Rattus norvegicus: one gene and its partners. The main gene of each other region encodes a partner of the protein of the gene in region 6 in a complex. Links are inferred from orthologs where the notes say so. Each region holds a gene or a part of one and is shown on either strand. Other genes may lie near its edges.

Evidence for each region.
Region 1: Exosc7 (region 6) and Exosc3 share a complex: the UniProt entries of both Homo sapiens proteins name them as parts of the RNA exosome core complex. The link is inferred for Rattus norvegicus from reciprocal best matches to the Homo sapiens genes EXOSC7 and EXOSC3.
Region 2: Exosc7 (region 6) and Exosc4 share a complex: the UniProt entries of both Homo sapiens proteins name them as parts of the RNA exosome core complex. The link is inferred for Rattus norvegicus from reciprocal best matches to the Homo sapiens genes EXOSC7 and EXOSC4.
Region 3: Exosc7 (region 6) and Exosc2 share a complex: the UniProt entries of both Homo sapiens proteins name them as parts of the RNA exosome core complex. The link is inferred for Rattus norvegicus from reciprocal best matches to the Homo sapiens genes EXOSC7 and EXOSC2.
Region 4: Exosc7 (region 6) and Exosc5 share a complex: the UniProt entries of both Homo sapiens proteins name them as parts of the RNA exosome core complex. The link is inferred for Rattus norvegicus from reciprocal best matches to the Homo sapiens genes EXOSC7 and EXOSC5.
Region 5: Exosc7 (region 6) and Exosc6 share a complex: the UniProt entries of both Homo sapiens proteins name them as parts of the RNA exosome core complex. The link is inferred for Rattus norvegicus from reciprocal best matches to the Homo sapiens genes EXOSC7 and EXOSC6.

What each region holds. Positions count from the first base shown.
Region 1 is NC_086023.1:64,371,912-64,376,042, forward strand, and holds the start of Exosc3 (exosome complex component RRP40), read right to left. Parts: upstream 2,801-4,131; 5' UTR 2,778-2,800; coding exon 2,433-2,777; intron 1,858-2,432; coding exon 1,708-1,857; intron 1-1,707. UniProt on the Homo sapiens protein: Non-catalytic component of the RNA exosome complex which has 3'->5' exoribonuclease activity and participates in a multitude of cellular RNA processing and degradation events.
Region 2 is NC_086025.1:109,927,131-109,931,290, reverse strand, and holds Exosc4 (exosome complex component RRP41), read right to left. Parts: upstream 2,801-4,160; 5' UTR 2,763-2,800; coding exon 2,592-2,762; intron 1,055-2,591; coding exon 848-1,054; intron 748-847; coding exon 388-747; 3' UTR 58-387; downstream 1-57. UniProt on the Homo sapiens protein: Non-catalytic component of the RNA exosome complex which has 3'->5' exoribonuclease activity and participates in a multitude of cellular RNA processing and degradation events.
Region 3 is NC_086021.1:35,359,474-35,363,465, reverse strand, and holds the start of Exosc2 (exosome complex component RRP4), read right to left. Parts: upstream 2,801-3,992; 5' UTR 2,781-2,800; coding exon 2,659-2,780; intron 1,426-2,658; coding exon 1,324-1,425; exon of another isoform or gene 1,312-1,323; intron 1-1,311. UniProt on the Homo sapiens protein: Non-catalytic component of the RNA exosome complex which has 3'->5' exoribonuclease activity and participates in a multitude of cellular RNA processing and degradation events.
Region 4 is NC_086019.1:90,294,625-90,298,708, reverse strand, and holds the start of Exosc5 (exosome complex component RRP46), read right to left. Parts: upstream 2,801-4,084; 5' UTR 2,718-2,800; coding exon 2,570-2,717; intron 1-2,569. Other genes in the region: Bckdha (2-oxoisovalerate dehydrogenase subunit alpha, mitochondrial), read left to right, coding at 3,213-3,320. UniProt on the Homo sapiens protein: Non-catalytic component of the RNA exosome complex which has 3'->5' exoribonuclease activity and participates in a multitude of cellular RNA processing and degradation events.
Region 5 is NC_086037.1:55,930,247-55,933,437, reverse strand, and holds Exosc6 (exosome complex component MTR3), read right to left. Parts: upstream 1,916-3,191; 5' UTR 1,884-1,915; coding exon 1,065-1,883; 3' UTR 501-1,064; downstream 1-500. UniProt on the Homo sapiens protein: Non-catalytic component of the RNA exosome complex which has 3'->5' exoribonuclease activity and participates in a multitude of cellular RNA processing and degradation events.
Region 6 is NC_086026.1:131,654,063-131,657,562, reverse strand, and holds part of Exosc7 (exosome complex component RRP42), read right to left. Parts: intron 629-3,500; coding exon 527-628; intron 279-526; coding exon 184-278; intron 1-183. UniProt on the Homo sapiens protein: Non-catalytic component of the RNA exosome complex which has 3'->5' exoribonuclease activity and participates in a multitude of cellular RNA processing and degradation events.

The DNA of each region.
Region 1 (4,131 bases), on a different chromosome or scaffold from region 6:
TGCTGCTGCTGGTTCTCTTCCATGGGCAGGAATGCCAGTGACCCAGTTCTCAAGCTAAGGGACTAATGATCCTTAGAATTCAGTCCTCCCTTCACACCCCATGAAATCCTCCAACCAGAAGCCATTTCAAGGCCTAAGGACAGCCTTCAAAACTGAACTGTTCAACTTGCATGTAGCTTACCTTAATTTCATATTTAACTTTATATCTACTTAACTTACATAAAATTCAGTTCTTCAGCTCATCAGCAGCCACATGTAACTAGTGGTAACTGCATCAGTCAGAGCAGATATAAAAACAAAAACAGCATCACTGGAGAATGTTCTATCAGTACTAACAATTATGTTTGTCTAGAGGAAGGAAAAACTCATGACACCCATATTCAATGGAATGTGAAAATGGGATAGCAGTAATTCAGACACTACTTCATGGAAAATTGGCTTTAAAATATTACAAAACTGAACTTTAAAATGAAGCTAAGGAAACAATAAATCTGTTCTCGTCATTCAACATTAAAAATCCTCCCTGTTGAGCTGGAGCGATGGCTCATGGGTTAGGAGTGCTTACTGCTCTTGCCGAGGACCCAGCTTTGGTTTCTAGCATCCTCATAGCAGCTCGAAACTGTTTATAACTCAGGTTTCGGGGACCTGACCTTCCTGTCTGACCTCCACAAGAAGCTGTCACACACTGGGCAGAAACATACATGTGGACAAAACACTTCCCTATGCATACTCTAAAAGTATTTTTTAAGTCCCCACTGTTGTGGGTGATTACAAAACCTGGCGGGACATAACCCCTTTCTGCCTTCCTGGAGCATGTGCTCTTGCACAGGGCAGTGAGAATGAATAAACTGAGGAACCAGATCAAGAATAAACCCAGGGCTGTGGTAAATATACAGGAAAAGAGATGATGACCTTATAGGCAGTCCCACTCAGCCTGGACCTCAAGGGTGGTGTCTCATAGGCTGAGGATACAGCTCCAAACAGAGGGACCCCATTAACAAAGACCAAGGGAAGGAAGGGAACCCAGTGACACTGTGAAGCTTAATATAGTTACGTGGAGCAACAAGCTGTGAGGGGAGACCCCAGGTGCACCATGCCAGTGGATTCCTTATAACTTAAACAATCCTTTTCTTAATAAGATTTTTTTAATAAGTCAACAAGACTGCTGCCCACTCCTGTCAAAAGGGAGCAGACACCTGACCCTGTGGAGACAAAGGGATTGACAGGCAAAGATAAAGAGAAGAACAGATAAGACTGAGCGACTAAAGACCCTCGAGAGCTGACAAAAAGCAGGAGAGAGCTCATCTCATTTGTAGCTCAGGTATTCAGAAGGATATGGCTAAACTACCCAGAAAGCCCAACCTGTCGAAACAAGACAACTCTTCTGTCAGCTCCAAGGATTTACAGCGACCATGAACAGATAACAATAGTGCCGGTGGCCCTTACATTAGGGCCATTGTCCTGGGTGGATTCGGACATGACAGGTAAGGAAGACACAGATGTAACTTGCCAACCAGGTAGAGAAGAACCAAGACTGCTAACGTGATACACAGCAATGGTTCTGGAGCTGCAGCAACCGAGAATCTAATAAACGACCTTGGAGAACTGGAGGGATAGTTGATGCTTTAAAGACAATTCAGGTAGCCCTCTGGATAGTTAAATTTCTAGGGAGTGGACATTTTTTCTTATTGTTGAAACCATCATTACCTGTACATTTGGTCTGTTTCTTTTAGTTGCCCCTTCAAATGCCAGGTAGGACAAAGAAGCTGGCTCACTCCCTCCAACATCAACTTTGAATATATCGCCAGACTTAGCGACTACTATGCCAATCACGTGGTCTCCTTTCACTGGTACATACTACAAAACAGAATAAAAGAACAATCATAAATGATACAAATACTACTATAAAATATCTTCGGCAACTTTCATCGAGGTTACCAAGGGTTGGTCTCAACCAACCCTGCCAACTACTTACTCCCCGGGTAGCTGGAACTACAAAACCGGCCCGCACCAGTAAAACTTTACACCGTCTAAATCAACAGTTGATTTGAATCAAGTTTCAAGATTTTTCGGCATCCTTTATAAGTCTGGTGGCACAAGAATCTTTACATTCAAGGAAACTCATTCCATTAGTCATTATTCCTAAGAGAAAGCTCTTATTCTATGGGAAATTTAACTCCCTGTGATTTGGACTCATTGCAACTGGGACACCAAATGGCTTTGGGTTTTTCACAAGAACTCGCGGAACCTTTCTCTCCTTTCGCCCTTCTCAGGATATGTTCCTATTGTGGTTCCTCTAAAGAAGATGCAGAGAGAGAGAGAGAGAGAGAGAGATCTAGAAGCCACCGCCGCTCTAGACTCGCCTTAACCTATGATCGCACTTGCAGGGATCCCACTTTGGGGGCAGCACCGCCTCTCAGACATCCGCTTACCCGCTTCTGCTGCGAGTCCACCCAATAAACGCCGCCGCCGCCGCCGCCGCCGCCGCCGCCGCCGCCGCCGCCGCTGGGCTCCTTGTGACGCAGGCGGCCACACTTAGTGACCAGCAGACGGTCCCCGCAGCGTCGCAAACCCGGGCCGCATACTATGCGCAGCCTCGGGCGCGCTCCCGCATTCAGGCGTAACGGCTGCTCCCCGGGGCCCCCAAGGCCGTCTGCGTCCTCGTGGTCCGGCAGCACCAGCTCCTCCCCAGGGAGAACCACCTGATTTAGCACCTTGTGCACTGCCCGTGCTCGGCAGCCCGCCACAGACTCAGCCCCAGCGGACACTTCAGCCATGGCAGGCATCACCATTGCAACTTCCGGTAGTCTACTTCCGCTTCCGCTTCCGCTTCCGCATCCACTACCCGTCCACCTGGGTTATCCCTTTTCGGTGGTTGTGAGATTTTTCTGAATTAGACTTTAGCTTTGGAGCTAGTCGCTTCAGCTCATGGGTACTCCTCCTCCGAGTGACTGTGTGTGTAGTTAGCGACCCACCCATCTTGTAATCTCCCCGGGTAGAGTCCATCTGTGAGCCCTCACTTCCGAGTCTCATCTTTCGACTTAACAATCAAGGGACGCTGGAATTGAGTGCCACTGGGAACTGAATAGTGGCTAGTTTGGAGGCCTTACCTTTCTACTCTGCCTACAGAAAGGTGGCTCAGCTGTTTGTATGTTTGTTTGTTTGTTTGTTTGTTTGTTTGTTTGTTAAGATTTATTTTATGTGAGTACACACACATTAGAAGAGGGCATCGCCTGATCCTGTTACAGATGGTTATGAGCCACCATGTGGTTGCTGGGAATTGAACTCAGGACCAGAGGAGTCAGTGCTCTTAACTGCTGAGCCATCTCTCCAGCCCGATAGCTCAGCTTTTAACCAGAAAAAAAAATTTTTTTTCAAAATATAACTTGTTTGGTTGTTGCTACCAATTTACATTGTGTAAAATACAAAGAACAATAGTTACAGTGCCTATCTGTCGCCCTTGCTGTGCTGTTAGCTATACTTCAGATCATTTGTAGCTCAAGGTACCTACTACTTGTAACAATTTTTAGGTGTATTTCTCCCACCTTCTCCAACACACATCACACTTTTTCACCAGTATAAGTTCATCCCTACATGGCTTGGGAATATCGGTAACTCAGATCAATTCTTGCAGCTAGTTAGTTCTTTGGGAGCACACTAACGGCTATGTGAGAAACTGTTAAATCCCAAACCCACAATGCAAGAATTTAAGAACTTCCAGTTTTCTGGCTTTGGGGTTCTTATCTGTGAAACCAGCTTTTTTCTGTAGGCATCTTCAATGAGTGTTTGATTGTTCTCCAGCAGCACTGAGGGCCTTGACATTGACTGACGTCAGATTGCTCTGCTGTCAACTAAGTTTCTAAATTTTTAGGGAAGGGGCATCAAACTTCCTCCAAATCTGGCAAGTTGCTGGCAAACCATTTAATCCCTGGATATAGTAAGGACAACTGACATACAGGCAGACAGGAGAGGGGCCATGGCTAGGTAATAAGTATTGAGTTTTCAAGATGGCTAACTTCTTCCCCAACCTCCTAACTTGATACAAGCTTGGCAGCTTCAAAGAAAGGCTGCGTGGGGTTTGGAGAGGGTAGGAGGGTTCATGCTTACAGATAGTACTAGGGAAACCAGAAT
Region 2 (4,160 bases), on a different chromosome or scaffold from region 6:
CCCTCCCTGCTCAACCCTTGCTAAGTAAGGCAATCGCTATGCTGGAGACCCCCGTTCCCTGCTCAAACTAGTATAAAAACCTTGCCTAAATGAGGTTCAAGGTCTCAGCACAAATCTGATGCTTGGAGGATTCTGAGGGTCCAAGCTTAAGTGTGAATAAAGGCTTTGCTTTTGCATACAAATCCAGACCCCTGGTGGTCTTTGTGGACCCTGATATCTGGGCAGGCACAGCATGAGCACTCTTGCTCTTCCTAGCACAAGTGTTCTCTCCACTTAGGGACTGCAGTACAAACTGCTATGTAGGGCCCTGAGCTGCTTTGAAGTGCTGTACATTACAGTGTGTTCAGGAGAGGAACAGGCCTTTATTCTGGATATGGGGGGTTGGCCTCAGTCCCCCAGTAAGATAGAGGCCTCCTGCACATGCTGCCGGACAACACGATCCAGCAGAGTGTGCACATCCCGGGCTGCCTGGGCAGCAGCCTCGAGCACCTGCTCCAAGTGGTCTTCATGCAACCTCGAATCCATCTCAAGCAGTGCAATCTGGCCAGAGGCTGGCAGCAGGGCCAGGGCTAGCTGGGGCCCGCCAGCTGCTTCCTCCACGTGACTGAGGTCCGCTAGTGCTGTGCCATCCACAAAACCAGCCGAACATGCACACACAAAGTCCCGCATGGGTATCCCAGCATCCATCACTGCTAGCGTGGCTGCATTCACACATGCTGCATAGGTCCCACCGTCTGCTTGTAGCACCTGCAGGGGGCATCAGGACATCAGACATCTCATCCTCCAGCATCTCAGGCAGACCTCATCCCCTTAAGCCCCGCCCCCGGGGGAGTGGTTTGAGGCTCACCTGCACATAAATGTCTATCTGAGAACGTGGGTGCAGCTGTGTGAGGATAGCTGCCTCGAAGGTCTGGCGTAGCTGCAGCCCCATCTCACAAGACTTCCGGTCTCCATGAGGCCTTCGCTTGCGCTCACCTGTGCTGAAGGTTGCTGAACTGTACTGACAGTTCACTAGAGCCCGGTCAGGCAGAGCCCGTGACCGGGAGCCCCGGATCTGGAGGAAAAAAGAAGGAATGAGCCAGGGCCGCCTACCTCCTGGGTCACACTCGATGGCTCAGCCTTCCTCCTCTTCTTTCTAAAGTGCTTCAGAAAGCAGCAGCTACTTTGGTTCCAAACCATGGCAGGCGGTTTAGGGCTACACTTCGGTCTAAGCCGCACCACTGTCACCTTCCGCAAAAAAAACCCCTTTGTTCTTTAGTTGCTCCATTTCTTCCTAAATCATTCCCATCGTGGTCACCATGTTTACAAACATGTGATTTGACTGTGTCACCCACACACTAATATTTTACTTACCTTCCAGAAGCTTCTCATTACATGTAAAAGAAAATCTCAATTTCCCCGACCTTCAAAGCCCTGGGTCCTCATCTCCTTGGTTAACCACTCAACTTTATTTGATCTACTGTCCCTCGGTCTACCAGTAGTCTGGCCTAATGTGTTCTAGACCTGACCTGGCTTCCACCTAGAAAGCTGAGCAAATTGCTAGCAAACCTTAAAATGTGGGCTCATTGGTTAAGAGCACTGACTGCTCTTCCAGAGGTCCTGAGTTCAAATCCCAGCGACCACATGGTGGCTCACAACCATCTGTAATGGGATCTGATGCCATTCTGGTGTGTCTAAAAGACAGTGACAGTGTACTTATATATAATAAACAAATAACAAACAAACAAAAAAACCCTTAAAATGTGCATGTTTGCCGGCCTTGCTACACCACTGAGACAAAGCAGCAAAGGCAGGCAATTTATAATGTCTCTGTCTTGGGAGTTTACATTCCAGTAGAGAGACAAGAGACATGGAAGACTGAGGAAAATCGATGTAGCAGGGGCAGAAATAGCCTGGGAGGCCTTTTCCGGACAAGATGTCAAAACACTGGACTGAAAGAACAGGGACTGAGTGTAGCTTTGCCAGGATGTATGAGGCACCTCAGAGATGAAGAGGGCAGCCCAGGAGAAAAGAGGCCCACTGAGACGGAGGAGTTAAGCAGTAAGACTCATGTCCACTCCCACGATGTGCAGCCATGAGCCCCCAGTCCCTGCATGAGACAATCATAGTAGTTGTGGACAATCTGAAGCAGCCCCATATCCCACCCGTGGGATTAAAACAAAAACATAATCACATAACATAACTGGGTTCTTAAAGAAACCAATATTCTCAGTTCATCATGGGACCTAATACTTATACAAATTTGAGGGCCATGTTAGGGATGCAATTCCCCGAGAGGACTCAGAACTCGGGGTATAATTATATTCATGGCTTAGTGGATGTAACACAAAGGAAGGATTGAAATGGAAGTTAACCAAGGGAAAGAGCTCGTGAGGTGAAATCAGAAGAAGCCAGGTCCTCGCAGATGCACGCACATCATTTCCCCTACAACACGGTGGGACAACGTGTGTTGAGATGCTTTCTGCCAGGGAGGACCCCAGAAATTCAAAGATGGGATTTTAGTATACTGCTGCATAGGTAGAGGAGTTAAGCTGTAAGGTCTACTTCCTCGTCGTGCGGCCACGAGCCCCCAATCCCTGCCGCTTACTCGCCTCGTGAGGCCCGTAGACCACCGCCAGTGCCTTGGTGTTGCCCTGCTCGATATAAGCCGAGCCATCGGCCTGCGCAAACACGCCCATCCGCGCCTGAATCTTGCGCAGCTCCCCCGCGCGGCGACCGTCTATCCGGTAACCCTGATCGGACAGGAGCTCCAGCCCGGCCATGTTGCGCAGTCCTCGCTCCGCCTCCGAGAGCACGACCCCTTAGATGACCTGGGCTTCCGCGACTACGACTTCCGCCGGTCCGTTTCCTTTTCAGTCTCGGAGAGCTATAACTTCCGGTAAACTAGTCCCTTTCCGGTGCAAGGCTCGTAGCTTCCCCGGCCTGCTGAATGTACGAGTCACGTCGTTCGGTTCCGGGAAATCAAAGGCCCGAGCCGAGCTGGTTTTTGCAGCTTCTCCTCGGTTGTTGAAGTAGGTACGCCTTGAAGACAAACTTCTCTTTCCGGACGTCCTCGGTTTGTCGGAGGCGCTGGTCCCAGCGGAGACTATTTTTTTTTGGCCCTTTAAAAAACTGTATATCTATTTTTATTGTACGAATGTATTGAACAAGCATACCTGCTTGTATGTCTTTTCGTCACGTGTGTGCTCAGTGCTGCGGAGGTTAGAAGGGGGCAGCCACTGTGAGTGCTGGAATCTGGTCCTTCTCTTTTTTTCGTCTTTCGTCCGTGTGGTTTTTACAGTGGTCAGTTTAGCCAAGCACAATTTTTTGTTCCACATACACGTGATTATTATCTTTGTGGCTCAGTATTAGTTTAGTTTTTCTTTTTTCTTTTTCATTTGCTTGGTTAAATCCATAAGTTTCCCTCCCTTACCTTGGCCAGTAAGTTTTCTCTATAGCCTGGATGCAAGCACAAAGCGCCTGCGGTTGTCTATATGCACCTGTATAGTAGGTTTTGGAGTTCTGATTATTTTTAAAGATTCGGTCACTTAGTATACATTTGGGAGTGTTTTCACTCAGAATATGAAATACATAGTCCTGAGATTTTGTTGTGTTTGTTGGTGATGGGCCCTTTTTTGCTGTTGTTTGGTTTGCTTGTTTTTGGAGACAGGGTTTCTTTTTGTAGCCTTTGTTGTCCTGGAACTCCTTCTGTAAACCATGCTGGCCTTGAGATCACAGATCTGCCTATCTCTGCCCAGAGTGCTGGGATCTGAGGCATGTGCGATATCACCTGGTTGCTGTTGCTTTTTGAAAATCTTGATATGTATTTCAGGTTGGCCTCAAACTAGCAATCTTCCTACCAGAGCCTCCCTAGTGCTCTTATAATGATTATAGGTGGGACCGTGACACCTAGCTTGGAGGTATATTTTTATTGTTTGCTTCATACCTGTGGGGTAGATAGAGCAGATTATAGTCCCACTGAGTCCTCTTTAACAACCCTGTGTATTGTAGGAGCAGATAATTAAGGAATGCTATTCATTGTGGAGGGCTTGTGAGTCTTGATTCTGAGTATGTTGTCTTATTTTCTCACCCAGAATAAATAATTTTGTGGTGGTTTGTTTGTGGTGTTTTTTTTTTTTTGTTTTTTTGTTTTTTTTGTTCTTTTTTTCGGAGCTGGGGAC
Region 3 (3,992 bases), on a different chromosome or scaffold from region 6:
CATGCTTAGGCAGAAACCTTGATGCCTGTCACACTCTGGGATAAGCACAGCACAGACCCTGCTGAAGGCACCTCCAAATGTGTGAGGGAAACAAAGACATCCAGACTGGAAACGGGGAACTAAAAATATCTCTATTCCTTCTGTTAGCTTTCCTTAAACACATCAGTTACTGCAACAGCCTTTCAAAGGACACTCTGAAAGCAAGGCATACAGAGGACATAGCCACTGCTGAGGGCCATGCCTGCCATCACTCGGTCATTTCTCAGATGAATACAGTTCCCCAGCCCAGCTCCCTAAACATGCCCTGTCCCCCTTCACTGTCTCCATGGCAACCACAGCAAGTGATGAAGACGTAGGTCAGATCACAGCTCTCTTGCTCTCTTCTGCTTGATCCCTTCCAAGGGCTTCCCAATTGGTACAGTACGAAGCCCAAGTCCTCACTGTCATTGCCAGGCAGGGTGACCACTTGGCTGCCACAGCTCCGGCTTGCCTGACTAATCAGTCCCAGGCTCATTGCTTCCCTTCTGGACGCACCTTTATGGGCTTCTTCTAGGTCCTGGGCCCTGTGTGTAAGTACTTTACTGTAGCAGGTCACTGAATTCCGAATGAACAATCCTGAGTTGGTTACTTTCTTTATGATGTGGAAAAGGAAAGCCCAACGCATGGAGGGATCAAGTGACGTGAGGAAACCTTTGAAGCTCACACCTTCTGTAGTGTCCTAGTTTGCTTTCTGTTGCTGTGATAAATACCACAACCAAAAGCAACTCGAGAAGGAAAGGGTTTATTAGGCCTACAGATTACACTCCATCACGGAGGAGTGCCAGGCAGGAACCTGGAGGCCAGAACTGAGGCAGAGTCTGTGGAGGAACACTACTGGCTGGTTTGCTTCCCAGACTCAGGTTTTTGTTCTCCCCCCCCCCCCACACACACACACAGAGCTGCCCTGGAACTCACAGAGAGCTGCCTGCCTCTGCCTCACAAGTACTAGGATAAAAGGCCTGCAGCACAGTGCCCATCCTTCCACACCCCAGGCCCACTGGTCCAGGGGTGACACTGCCTATATCAATTACCAATGAAGAAAATGCTCCCACAGACATGCCCACAAGCTAATCTGATGGAGACAATTCTTAGCTTTAGGTTTCCGCTCCCAAGGTAACTCCAGCTTTGTGTCAAGTTGGCTGCCGGCACTAACTGTGACAAACAGGCACATTCAACCTAGCAGGCGTGTGACAGGAATGATCCTAGATGACATGGGGAGACGACGGAGAAGGCCTGTGTACAACCCAGATGCTCCGAGAATGACATACACACCTCTGTCCTCACCTGGTTTTCAAGGCTTTGACACAGATCAGCTTGTTCACTCTCTCCACAGAGCCGGCCACTGACGCAATGAGCTTTTCCTCCCCCATGTATGTTCCATGGCCCCTGTGCAAGGACAAGACCACAAAGAAAGGATAGCAGTGTTACACTGGAGGTAACATGGGAGCATCTAGAACATGGTTCTTGAACCTAACAGGCTCCCCCTGCCTCCACAGAGCCATGTGGACATCCCCATCTTAAAAAGTGTGCTCGAGGGGCTGGGGATTTAGCTCAGTGGTAGAGCGCTTACCTAGGAAGCGCAAGGCCCTGGGTTCGGTCCCCAGCTCCGAAAAAAAAGAACAAAGAAAAAAAAAAAAAAAAGTGTGCTCGAATGTCACTTTCCAACAACAGAACTGCACATCCCAGGCAACACAGGGATCCCCACTGGTCCACCCCATTGCCAACTACACCCCTCTTCTCCCCCTTCGTCTGCATTTACGACGTTCTTGTGGCATTTACTGTTATTGTTCCTTGCTAGATGATAAACCCCGCCTTTGGTACCCCAACCACAGGGACTATGTTGAACTTATGCTGCAAGTATGAAGAAATGAATCCTAAGATACCTGTCATCTAATACTTTAAACATAAAGTCTAGAGGCAATGCTATAAACACCATAATCTCATTTGTACCAGAAAGAAAAAACAACCAGGTTTTTTCAGGCCACTGCTGAAATTTTGCTTCCTGCCCCCACTTTTCAGTTGCTTAATACTCCCGATTCTACCAATTCCTGTTGTCACCACCGTCTTCCAGGTGAGGGTACCGGCCTTAGCTAGGTGCTACAGCTAAGGAGAGCACGACTCCAGAGCAGGCCCAAAGTACCACAAGTTCCGATAGCCTGCTAAGTTTGTATTATTGGGTGCATCTATGCACAGTATGTACTGAATGCTTACCTCAACCCCCACCCCACGAAAATCACTGCTTCAAAGTCAGGCTCGTCGCTGAGGTAACACTGAAAGAAACGACCAAGCCAGCAACCCACTGTCTCTTCAGAGGGTTGTAAGAAGGGTCCTGCTCCCAGCCCTCCCCAGGAAAGCTCAAAAATCTTGAGTTTCAGGATAAGGGTTCAAAAGTTCCTGACACCATAGATTAAAGGAGAAATCAGGAACTGACAGAGGAGCACCCAAGATGCAGGAAGTCAGAAGCATGAGGCTCGGAAAGGAGGATGCTCTGAGGTGTCCCAGGTATTCGGTGACTTAGATACAAGGGGACAGGAGGCCTGGGTTCCCGGGCAGCGGGCCACGTGCAGAGAGCTCTGCAGCCGTCTCCTGAGGCCTTGGGACCCCCAAATCCTCACGTACCGCATGAAGCCTGTATCCGTGGTGATCGTGTCCCCTGGCACTACCAAATGTTTTTTAGAATCGCGGCCCAAGCTCTCACTGAGAGGTTTGCGAGCCCTAGGGAGCCTCATCTCCAACGCCATCTTGGCGCCAATGACTTGCGCAGGCGCAGCTCCACACAGTCGCCTCAATTCCCGCCCACCTTCAGAGAAGCGACCAATGGAATGTATAGTGTGGCGGCCATGTTGACTATTGGCAACTATTAAGTTAACTCGAAGAAAAGAGGGTACCAAGCTGCCATGTTTACTATTGGCAAGAAAGCACCCGCGGAAAGACGTTGTAAGGGAATATGACTTGTAAGGGAATTGGTTTGGTTTGGCGTTTGTATTTGAGAAAAGGTCCCGTGTATGGCTGGACACAAACTGTACAGTTGAGAATAACCCTGCTGAACTCCAGAGATTCATGCCTCCACCTCCCAAACGCTCCGATTACATGAGTTTGAGTAGGTTGTGGTTTTGGTGGTGGTGCGAATGGTGCTTTTCGCATCTGATTGGTTTGTTGTTTTATGTGTATAAGCGTTTTTCCTGCGTTTGTCTCCGTACACTCCAGTGTCTGATGCCCACAGAGGCCAAAAGAGGTTGTTGGAGCACCTGGAACTGGAATTACAGATGTTTGTGATCCGCCATGTGGGTGCTGGGAATCGAAACCAAGTCCTCTGGAAATGCAGCCAGTGCTCTCCACCTCTGAACCCAGCCCAGGTGTAAAATTTTTTTTTTTTTAAGTTTTTTTTTTCTTTTTTCTTTTTTTTCGGAGCTGGGGACCGAACCCAGGGCCTTGTGCTTGCTAGGCAAGCGCTCTACCACTGAGCTAAATCCCCAGCCCCGTGTAAAATTTTTTAAAGATAGTGTCTCATGTCATCCAGGTTGGTCTCAAACTGGCTGTGTAACCCAGGATGCCCTTGAACTCCTCTTCCTCTATCTCCCAAGAGCTGGGATTACAGGCGTAAACCGCCATGCTCAGTTGTATGAGTTTTTACCCAAACTATCCAATTTCATCATTTTATTTATTGTTGGTCAAGTCTAGAGATTGAGAAGTGAACCTTGAGTTTGCCATCCAACTCTAAACCACTATCTGAGCAGAAGATAGTGAATACTGTTCCTAGGGGGCCTTGTATTCTACAGTGGAGTTGACCCTTAGGTGCTGGTCTGGATCCTCACCTAGTGCTCCTATGGCTTTAGTGTGCTTTAGTAAAGACCTCTTCTGAAAGACGACTGTTGTAAAAGCCAGCCACAGGTGACGAGCAAATCCGTAGTGAGATACAAATGTAACTTTTATTCTCCTGTTGCAGTTGTTGC
Region 4 (4,084 bases), on a different chromosome or scaffold from region 6:
ACTGGGCCATCTCTCCAGCCCTCCATTGGACTTTCTGCAGTCAGGTTCTGTGTGGTCAAGGCTGGCCTCGCCCATGCTGTGCAGCTGAGTGACCCTGGCACGAGCTGCTCCTCCTGCCTTTATTTATCTCCCTGCTGCTAGGATTAGGGGTTCAGTACCATCGGTTTTGTTTTTGTTGGGTTTTTTTCTTTTTATCAATTTTGCTTGTAAGGTAAGACACTGTGCTGGCTAGTTACTTCCTTTGCTTTGCATTTGGTAAACTCAGCACGAGTTAGCCATACCTGGAAAGAGGAAACTCAACTGAGGCAACTGAGGGACTGCCTCCATCAGAAGGGTCTGTAGGCAAGTCTGCAGGGGAATTCACACACTCCCGGACCCAAGGCATTTCACTGATTAACAACTGATATGGAAGGGTCCCACTCGCTGTGGGCGGCGCTGCTGTTGGGCAGGTGGTCCTGGGTTATAAATGAAAACAGGCTGAGCAAGCCATGAAAGGCAAGGGCTCCTCCATGGTTCAGTTCCTGCTTCAATGGACTTGGGGTATGTAGGCCAAACAAACCTTTTCCTCCACAGGTTGCTTCTGGTCATGGTCCTTATTAGAGCAAGAGGAGCCTAATGAGGTCAGCTATGAAGTAATAGGGTTAGTGTGTCATTTATCACATATACCCATCATTTGCACTGCTCACTGATGCCACGCCCCCTCCCATAGGGTGTTCTTGCAGGAGCCTTTGAGGTCAGATGTGTCTGCAACATTTTTTTAAAAAGATTTATTTATTTATTATATATAAGTACACTGTCGCTGTCTTCAGACACACCAGAAGAGGACATCAAATCCCATTACAGATGGTTGTGAGCCACCATGTGGTTGCTGGGAATTGAACTCAGGACCTCTGGAAGAGCAGTCAGTGCTCTTAACCACTGAGCCATCTCTCCAGCCCCATCTGCAACATTCTTTTTGAAAGTCTGCAAGGTCTCCAATTTGCACCAGGGCCCCGTGGTTTAGAGTTTTAGAACATGGAAGGGTTCCCATTCTATTTCTTATATCTCGAGAGACAGGAGACGCTGAGTTTAGCAAGTGAGCAAAACCAGGAGCCAGCCTGGGATGAGAACACTATTACATCTGCGGGTGCTTTTCCAAGGAAACCCAATGGGACAGGGTCTTAGCGCCAACATCTGCCCTGAAACCAGAAGTGACCCAACTAGACTCAGGTGCTTACTAGAGCTACACAGTAGCTGTTCCTGTTCTGCTGTATAAACTGTGCTCTCGGCAAGCAAAATAGTCTCTTCTTTCCCACCATCTCTACAACGGGGCTACAGAAATTCTCCCCTTTTCAGTCCCTAGGATTTATTTTATTTTTAATTATGTGCATGCATGCTTGTGCAAGCCCCCCCTCTCTTTCTCTGTGTGTGTGTGTGTGTGTGTGTGTGTGTGTGTGTGTGTGTGTGTGTCCCTGCATGCAGAGGCTTCTAATCCCCTAGCTCCTGAGTTACAAGTGCTTGACAGCCTCCTGAATAGATGTTGGGAACTGAACTTTGTCCTCTTCAAGAGCCACAAGTGTTCTTAACCACCAAACCATCTCTCCAGTTCCCGGTTGTCTCCCTTTTTTTTTCTCCCCAAGACAGGGTTTCCTGGAACTCCTCTCCACAAACCAGGCTGGCCTCGAACTCATAGAGACCCTGCCTCTGTTTCCCAAGTGTTGTGACTAAAGGTGTTATTTCTTTTCTTAAGCTCCTGTCAGTCTTCAACTCTTGTCCCATCTACCAGATCCCTTCCCAGGAAAATGCCTGAACAGTTGTCTTAACTGTCCTTTCTTGCTCTCTCTGACCCACCACTACCCCACACTAACTTACTAGCCATAAAGTGATCAGCTCTTAATATCTCAAACACAACTCCCCATTGTCAACTCCATCTTTGTCCTCTTCATTTGTCTACTCTGGTAGTTTTTTACCCTCCCATGACCTCTCAAAGTTGGTTGGCTGGACTGGGATACAGGGTTATGTGGGCCTCAGCCTCGAGATCTCTCTTTTCTTTCTATTCATTTACCCTGATGAGACGTGTATACCAAGGAAAGGCATGTTTTCTCAAATGATGGGACCAGAGAAGGGGAGCTACTTGTTAGCCCAGGATGGGAGGATCACGTTCAATTTTCAGAGCATTTACTTAGGTATATCACCTGCCACAGTAATTATATTTAAACCAGTAGTGGTGATGTGTCTGTCTCAAAGGGTATTTATGCAAATAAACACCTTAGCCTCAACCGATGATGTATGGATCCAGAAGTGTTTTTTAAGAAATCTAGTCAAGGATAATATTTGCCTTGGTGAAACACCTATTCTGGAATATTCACTCTTAGGAGAGGGGTCTTGCCCTGGATTTCTTCCAAGAGGTATTGACCAGCCTGGCCAAATCATTTCTTCTCGAGTCGGGAGGTGGGTATACGCAATATCTAGAAATAAATTCTCCAAGGAGGTGGGCGTACTTGGTTGCACACTACACAGTAACCGCTCTTCAAAAACCCTTCTTCGGTGAGGATGGCGCGCGCTGAGTTAAACCTTGTTAAAGTCGTACCTTGCAGAAAAGAAGCAGATCCATCCGGCCGGGACAGCAGGTTTTGCTCACAAGCAAAGTGCCGGAGGCTGCAGACTGGACTTCGAGGGCTGGACTCTGTTCCGGTGTCAGTGAGTACCTTGGCGTCTGCACGCTTTGCTCCCTCCATAGCCGCTGACCACGCGCGCTGGGGCTCCTACCGTAGCTTCCGCTCAGCCGCACGCGCAGTTCTACCGGCCGTGTACCTACCGCGCAAGCGCCAATCTAGGGCACTCCCGAAGTGGCCCTAGCACGTGGCTCGGCGTTTACTAACAATCTGGTCCTGCCCACCTCCACCTCCCAATTCTGGCAAAGCCATTGGAGAATAGGGAATAAGGGGCAGGACTTGGACTAGGCCCATTTTGCCCAAGGCCCCGGGCCCTGAACCCTGGAGGTTCAAGTGAGGTTGTCCTTTTTATTGCCTGATATTGGAACAACTCCAAGCAGACGACTGGAGCAATTTTAAAGAATAAAAATGGTCAACTTACTTATTTCTACGTCTTTGTTGCTAGGCGGTTGGAAGAAAATAGTGCGTTGGCCTAGTGGTGCTGAGATTTGAATAAGGCATCTGATGGGACAGACGCATGTCTATCTCCTGAGAAAGGAGGAGTGGTTACTAGCCAAGATGGCGGTAGCGATGTCCGCGGCCAAGATCTGGAGGCCGAGCCGTGGCCTGCGCCAGGCTGCCCTCTTGCTGTTGGGGCGACCTGGGGCTCGGGGCTTGGCTAGATTCGTGAGTACCTGGCCCCCACAGTGTCTTTCTTGGGGAGAAATAGAGACGTAACTGTTATTGTTACAGTGTGCGTGGGGCACCGCGGGCTGTGAAGGAAGAGCAGATTCAGAAAGAAAAGGACCGGGAAACTTTTTGAAGAGAAATTCAAGGGAAGGCTCCCTTTAGAGCAAAAGCAAGGCAGCTACTTGCGGGCTTCGATGGAAGGAGACGAGTAAGGGATGAGACGGGGGTTGAAAGGACAGATCAGGTTTTCATAGGGTTCTACATTACTTAAATTCCAATTGTAAAGGGAGTCGAGCAAGAAACTCGTTTGTTTCCTATGTCCCCTGACCAAAATTCAAGGCGAGGGACTTTTCCATGACTGTCATTTACAGAAGATGATCATGAAGGGAGACAGAGCGAGAAGTTCAAACAGGACCCTTTGCCCACGTTATTTTTTTTTTTGAGACAGGATCTCACCCACTCATCTGGGATGGCCTTTAGCTCACCCAGATGCTTAGATAGGTATCCGAACTGGAGATAGTCCTGTCCCAGTCTCCCAAGTCCTGATATTACAGATGTGCGCTACGGTGCTTGGCTGCCCACTTTTCTTGAAAACACTCGAGAAAACTCGGAATCTCTTTTGATCTATTGTTGATAAGGGCAGGATAACACTTCCAAATGCTGTTGCGATCTGGCGATGTACCACAGTGCAGAATGCTTGCCTCACACTTGCCACGTCCAGAATTTGGCTCCTAGCCCCGCGCTTTTTGTTTATCTGGATA
Region 5 (3,191 bases), on a different chromosome or scaffold from region 6:
TCCTCCACTTCAGCCTGTGAAGAACAGGATAAGTCCCTATACTGGTCAGTCAGGCCTGCTCTGCCTTAATAGCCAGGCTGTAAATGATACCACAGTATTAGGCGGTCTGCATTTTAGTAGACCATTGCTGCCCAGACCCTTGTTCCCAGGAGCCAAGCCTGGACAGGCACCAGGATGGGACCCGGCTTCTTTCCAGAGCATAATCCTTTTCAGTTACCTAACTCCTAGACATGGTTTTGTCCTAAAGGAAAGGACAGGGGTGCATCCAGGCTTCTCCTTTGAACTCTCCCCAGACTTTTCCAGACGGGAGTTTCTCTGTGTAGCTCTGGCTGTCCTGAAATCTGCTCAGTCTTATCCCCTCGGCAGCTGCCCTAGACAATGCTCCCGGGGCAGCTGGTTTCTCCTCCAAAGCACATAACCCTTTCTTTCTTACAGCGGGCTAACAGGAATACTTAAGGCAGTAATGACTTGGACCCTTGACAACACACAATCAACACACACCCATTTCTGAACAGCATTGTTTTTAACTCAAGAAAAATCACAACACATGTTATTTCCAGGCATAAAAATGTTTTTATGTTTTACTTCGAGTAGTGAGAAGGCAAAGTCCCCTTGTCCATCCTCTCAAAAGAAAAGAATTGGGGTTGGGGATTTAGCTCAGTGGTAGAGTGCTTGCCTAGCAAGCGCAAGGCCCTGGGTTCGGTCCCCAACTCAGAAAAAAAAAAAAAAAAAAAAAAAAGAATTATATTGGAGCTGCCGGCTGGCCTGCACAGGGTCCATCCCTTACAAGGCCATAGCCCCAGGTCTCATTTACTAAGTAAATCCAGCCCAAGTCCTTTCCAACTTAGGAATATGGCTGCTTTCAAATTTCTCCAACTGGATCGTGTTTCCAACGGCCTTTTAAACTTCTTTCCAACGCAGCTGTGCAGAGCTTTGGTTCTGTGCGCACCACTCCCCCACTCTCCTGTCTCAGCTCAGCGAAATCGGGCAACCATCAGCGCTGGTCCTTTTGGGAGAAAAGGGCGATAGCAGTCCTCCGCATCCTCGTCGCTCAAGTTTTCCAATCAGGGCGGGGCGGCGGCACCCCTCCGGCGGGCAGCCCTCACCAAGCACTGCTGCAACACCGGGTAGAGGCGCTGGCAGCCTTCCAGGCCCAGGCGCACCGCATCGGTCCAACTCTCAGTCTGGCCGCCTTCCCCACTGCCCAATAACCCGGCCACCTGATTGAGCACGGGCATGAGCGCCACCGTGAGGCCGGCCTCAGAATGCTCCTCCTCCAGTCGCGTGGGGTCCAGCAGCCAAGTCGGGGAGGGCCCCGGTGTGAGGCTCAAGCCGCAGCCCACTACCAGATCGTACATCTCCACTCCCGCGTCGGCCAGGGCGAGCGCAGCAGCGGTGAGGGCCGCGGCCAGCGCAGAGCCGCCGTCCTCCAGCAGCAGCGCGGACACCTCGAGTTGAGCACGAGGGTAGCGTCCTAAGCGCACAGCGGGCTCCAGAGCCTCCTGCAGAGCCAGACCCAGCTCACGATCCTCGCTGCTGCCCTGGGGCGCGCGACGCCGGCGACCGGAGAAGGGCGCGCGACGGAAATCGCAGAGCAAGCGACCCCGGAGAGCAGCCGGAGCTTCACCGCCCGCTCCGGCGGGACCGCCGCCGCGCTCACCGCCCTCGGCCTGCCGCGGACCGGACACGGCGCACAGCACCTTGGTACCTCCCGCTTCCAGGTAGGCTGAGCCCTTAGCCTGGCTCAGCAGCCCTGCGCGGGCGTACACCGGTCGTAGGCGCGTCGGGTCGCGAGCAGCGGGCGTCTCGTCTTCTTCGGCCGCGTACAGCTGCGGCGGCTGGGACTCCTCTGGCCCTCGGATGCGGCGGTGGTCTCCCGGCATGGCGGCTACCGGCGTACGAGCTACTTCCGCCTGCCAGGATGCCTTGCGCACCGGCTCTTCCGCTCGCTTAAAGATACGCGCCCGCGCGGAGCCTATCGGGAGAGCGGTAGGTTTCCGCATTGCCACCTAGCGGAATGGAGGAAGAACGGCGAGGTATTGGCTGGACCTGTGGTTCCATAGGACCTGATCTACTGTCATTCCTTGAATTTTGCATTCAGATTGTTTTATATAAGCTTGCCCTAGGTAAGAACTTTTTGTTCGGGCTGAAGAGATGGCTCAGCGGTTAAGAGCACTGACTGCTCTTCCAGAGGTCCTGAGTTCAATTCAGCAACCACATGGTGGCTCACAACCATCTGTAATGAGATCTGATGCCCTCTTCTGTGTGTCTGAGTACAGGATACTCATGTACATGAAATAAATAAATTAATTAAAAAAAAAAAAGAACTTTTTGTTCATTCCTGTAGTTAGTCCCCTGGCTTGCTTCAACACTTGTTTAATAAATGGACGTTATCTCTCTTCCTACAACTGAATAATAATTCTAACACTCTGAGATCTGTCATAAGCAAGCAGTATCTCAGCTTCCAGACCCTGCTGTTTGTAGATTCATATAAATTGCATTTTAGGGCCGAGCCAGGGTCTTGAACCTATTTCAGGTTAAAGAAGCAGGGATGGGGCAGTTACTAGAAGACATCTCTACATTCATACCTCCTACATTAGTTGTCTGACCTCATATCAGCAGCTTCAAGGGGAGGCACGTTGAACACACATGATGAAAGCCATTATGAGGTTGTCCCAAGAGACTAAGAATGGTGCTTCTTCATGTGAAGCAATTCAGAAGAATTTTCCTCCACCCCTTTTACTGAATGCCTCAATTTCAGCCCACCCATTCTGCCTCTAGCTCTGCTCTCCCAGGGGCCGTTCCTCAAGTTCAGGAGTCTGAGGCTGTACTCTGTGATAACATCAATCAGAAACCAGCCAGAACCACACACAGCCTGTATTCTGCATGTATAGGGAGCTGAGGTCAACCTCAGGAGAAAGGAGAGCGTGGTATCATCTAGTATTGCACATGGTCCTTTATTTTCTGCAGTGGAAGGCTTCCTTCCCACTTGCAGACCTAGAAGCCTCAGGTTGGCAGAGTGACCTCATCTAGACGTGATCAGGATGTTAGGTAGCATTCCTGGGTAGTGACTTTAGACAGATGGCGCTGACATTATGGCTCAGAGCAGAATGGAAAGGGGCAATGAATCACAGGACAGCTCCAGGCGCGTTCCAGTTACTGCTGGATCAGGACGGAGGGCTGCTGAAAGG
Region 6 (3,500 bases):
AAGAAAAATGAGTGACTAAACGAACATGACAGGGTTCGCTTTCTGAATCTTTCTTAGGGGATGTATGTGTGGGTGGGAAGCAGGGACTGAATCCACTGCCTCCTACATGCTATGCAAACACTCTACCCCCAAGTGACATCCCAAGGATTCCTTTTCCTTTCAAACCACCTGCACAGTACTGACCAGTCAACAAAGAACTCCAGGTAGCCTTCGCTTGGTCTCTCCAGCTTCGGTGTCCCCATCTCTGCTTTCACTCCCACCAAGATGTCTGTATGACCCTGCAGACACATCCAAGAGTCCTTGCTCAGGAACAACACATTCCTCTTCAAGACAGTTCTGTTGTTTCAGCTTAGAATATGGTATTCTAAGATGAGGAGTGCTTTGGGTCTGGAGAGATATATTCTCCCATTATGGCTTAGGGACTTTGGTCTCCTCAGGACCAATGTGCACTCCCTCCCCCAAGACAGCAGGGCCTGTAACTGACCCATTTCTCCACCTGGGTATGAACAGTGACAACAGAACTCACCAGCTTGACTCTGGCAGACCCACTGGTGTTAGACACCACATCAGTCTCTACTTCAACACATCGGTAGTCCTCACAGCCACGGCCATCCACCCGAAGGTCTTCCTAAAGAAACAAGGTTCAGGTTGTGATCCCAAATTCACAGACTCCCTTCCAGAAATACATAACCTTCTTTTCTCTCAGTGGTTCACCAAATTTTGTTCTCACACTACTAACAATACTACAAGCCTAATATAAGGAAGAGACTCAGAAGTGACTTATCCTAATGATGAGAAATCTATGGTTTCATGTCAGATGTGCCTGACTACAAAGGCCCGGCATGTTTGGATGTACAGAATACACACACTAAAGCAAGCAAAATGGAGGCACAGACAGACAGACAGACAGACAGACACACACACACACACACACACACACACACACACACACACACACACACACACGGCTATGCTCTGCTAGAGCTACAGACACAACTGTCTTAACCCGAGTCCTGTTTACCCCAATTTCGATCTACCAGACCTGTTACATACAATCTAAAATATTTAACCTTCTAAAATAGTCCACAAACTAATGCACGTGAGCTACTTGTTTCTGTAATTAGGCGGTAACACAGCCATGCCTGTTCCTGTAAGTACTATGAATGCTTTTCCCACATTTGCTGAAGGGAAATACACATGCTCCCACCTGGCCCTTTACAGGACAGTGTTGTATGAGATAGTTTCCAGGATAGCTACAGGCTGCCTGTCTCTTCTGTCCCACTGTTTTCTTATAACAGCACAACTCATAGATATCTATTTTATGTTGTGCTATAATCTGATATTTGTTTCACCCAGGCCATTGGTTAGTTTTCCCTGCCCTTCCCCAAGGAGCCCTGGTTCCTCTTACTGGCAATATAGTATTCAAAAACCAGGATATGGGTGCTAAATTTGCTGTAGAATTCTAGACCATCTCAGCAACAGAACTAGAAAGAATATAAACTAACATCAGGTCCTCATTTAGTTCCCCATCTATCAAGAAGCCAGGAGTTCATACTAATAGCTCACTTCCCACTTCATGTTCATGGTTCATTCCGGCCTTTTTTTTTTTTTTATTTGTAACTTTTTTTCTCTGAATCTCAGTACCAAATCTCTAGAGGCGGAGGTAGGGAGAAACCTGGCTGTCGTTATCTATCCCATAATTCCATATATCTTTTTCCTCAGTATATACATTGTTTCGGGGCTAACCATTCTCCCCAGAGAAATAAACTTTGCAGTAGAGTACAATTGGATACAATGTTCTCAGTTTTCTTCTCACCCTTCCACAGTATTCATTTGTAACCTAGACTCACTTGCAACTCTTTATATTCCAGTTTCACCAAATCCTGGTTACTTTTAATTTCTTACTTATTTACTTTTCCAGGTTTAATGGAATATCACTGTGGTTCTACCAGTCAAACAGCTCTGAGTAACAACCTTTCCCTTTACCTAACTATGTTCTTTCCACACCCCCAACCCCTTACCCCCACTTCTTTCTCATCTACCCTTGGCCAACAATGGGTCTCTTATTGAAATCCAGTTTCTCTTGTATTTTCTCTGTTCAAACGAGCAGATTTTTTTTTTACACTCTCCTTTTAAATTAAGCATTATTATAAGAAGCACACATTTGTCTAAACCTGGCATTTGGATGCCTCTATTTAAACAACTTAGATTTCTTGTGATAATGATCTAGTTTTAGGGAGAGGGGGTAATAGTCCTCTGTACTTACATGAAGGGTGGCATATCATTTTACATTTACTTTATGTATGAGTGTTTTGCCTGCCTGTAAGTATGTGTATCTCATGTACGCCTGGGTACCCATGGATGTCAGAGGCAGCATTGGATTACTGGAAGTGGAGCTACATATGGTTGTGAGCAGCTGTGGGTGCTGGGAACTTAACCTGAGTTCACTGAAAGAGGAGGAAGTACCTTGTCATCTTTCTAGCCCCTTACACATTCAGTTTTACACTTTTCTTTCCTCAAACACTTAGCAAGCTGATACACAATGCATACAATAAAACACCCCAAGCCATCTCGCTAAGATCTTCCTCATTCTTCATAAATAACCCCTGAAAGCATTTTTTAAAATTAGATTTATTCATTTTATTTTATGCATGTTTGTGCACCGTATATGCATTTGATGCTAGAGGGGTTCAGAAACCGGCGTCAGATCTCCTGGAACTGGAGTAATGGATGGTTGTGAGCCACCAAGCCAGTATTGGAAACAGCTCTGCAAGAGTGACAAGTTGTGGTTTGCCCTGGAGTTATCTGTATTTTGATGCTAATTCCACTGCCCCAAGGACAGCTGCCTAGTCACATACTCAGGAATCAGGTGACTTCACCAGAACCTTTTCCCCATAGAATTTGTAAGGTACAGGTGAGGGGCAGGTACAGGATAGAAGGAGGCCTATCATTGGAGGAGAAGGAAGAATGGGCGGGAGAGAAGTTTGAAGGAAGAGGAGGAGACTGGGACAGAGAAGAAGAGACAGGAGACAGGAGACAGGAGGAGAGAGGGGAGAAGCCATGACAGGTGATGTTAAGATTCTGCTCTGTGTATTTACAGGTTATCAATGTTCCTAAGGGATGGATGGTACCGGGCTTTGTGTGTTCAAGTGGGCAATTATATCTTACCAATTGGGCCAAAGATTATTGTGTTGTGTGTTCTTTTATGTGAGGGTTTGAGTGTAGGAAAGTGTGCAACTGGGATGTGTTTCCGCCAAGATACCTAGCAGATGTCTGGGGCACCGAGGTGCGGACCAAGTGTGGAAAAAGACAACCGTTACTTTTTTATTTTTATATTTATACAACAACAGTGACAGGTACCCTTAATCACTGAGACATCTCTCCAACCCACTTTTCCTTCCTTCCTTTCTTAAACAAACAAACAAACAAACAAACAAATAAACAAGGGGCTGGAGAGATGTCCCGGTGATTAAGAACTAACTGGACTTCAGTTGGATTCC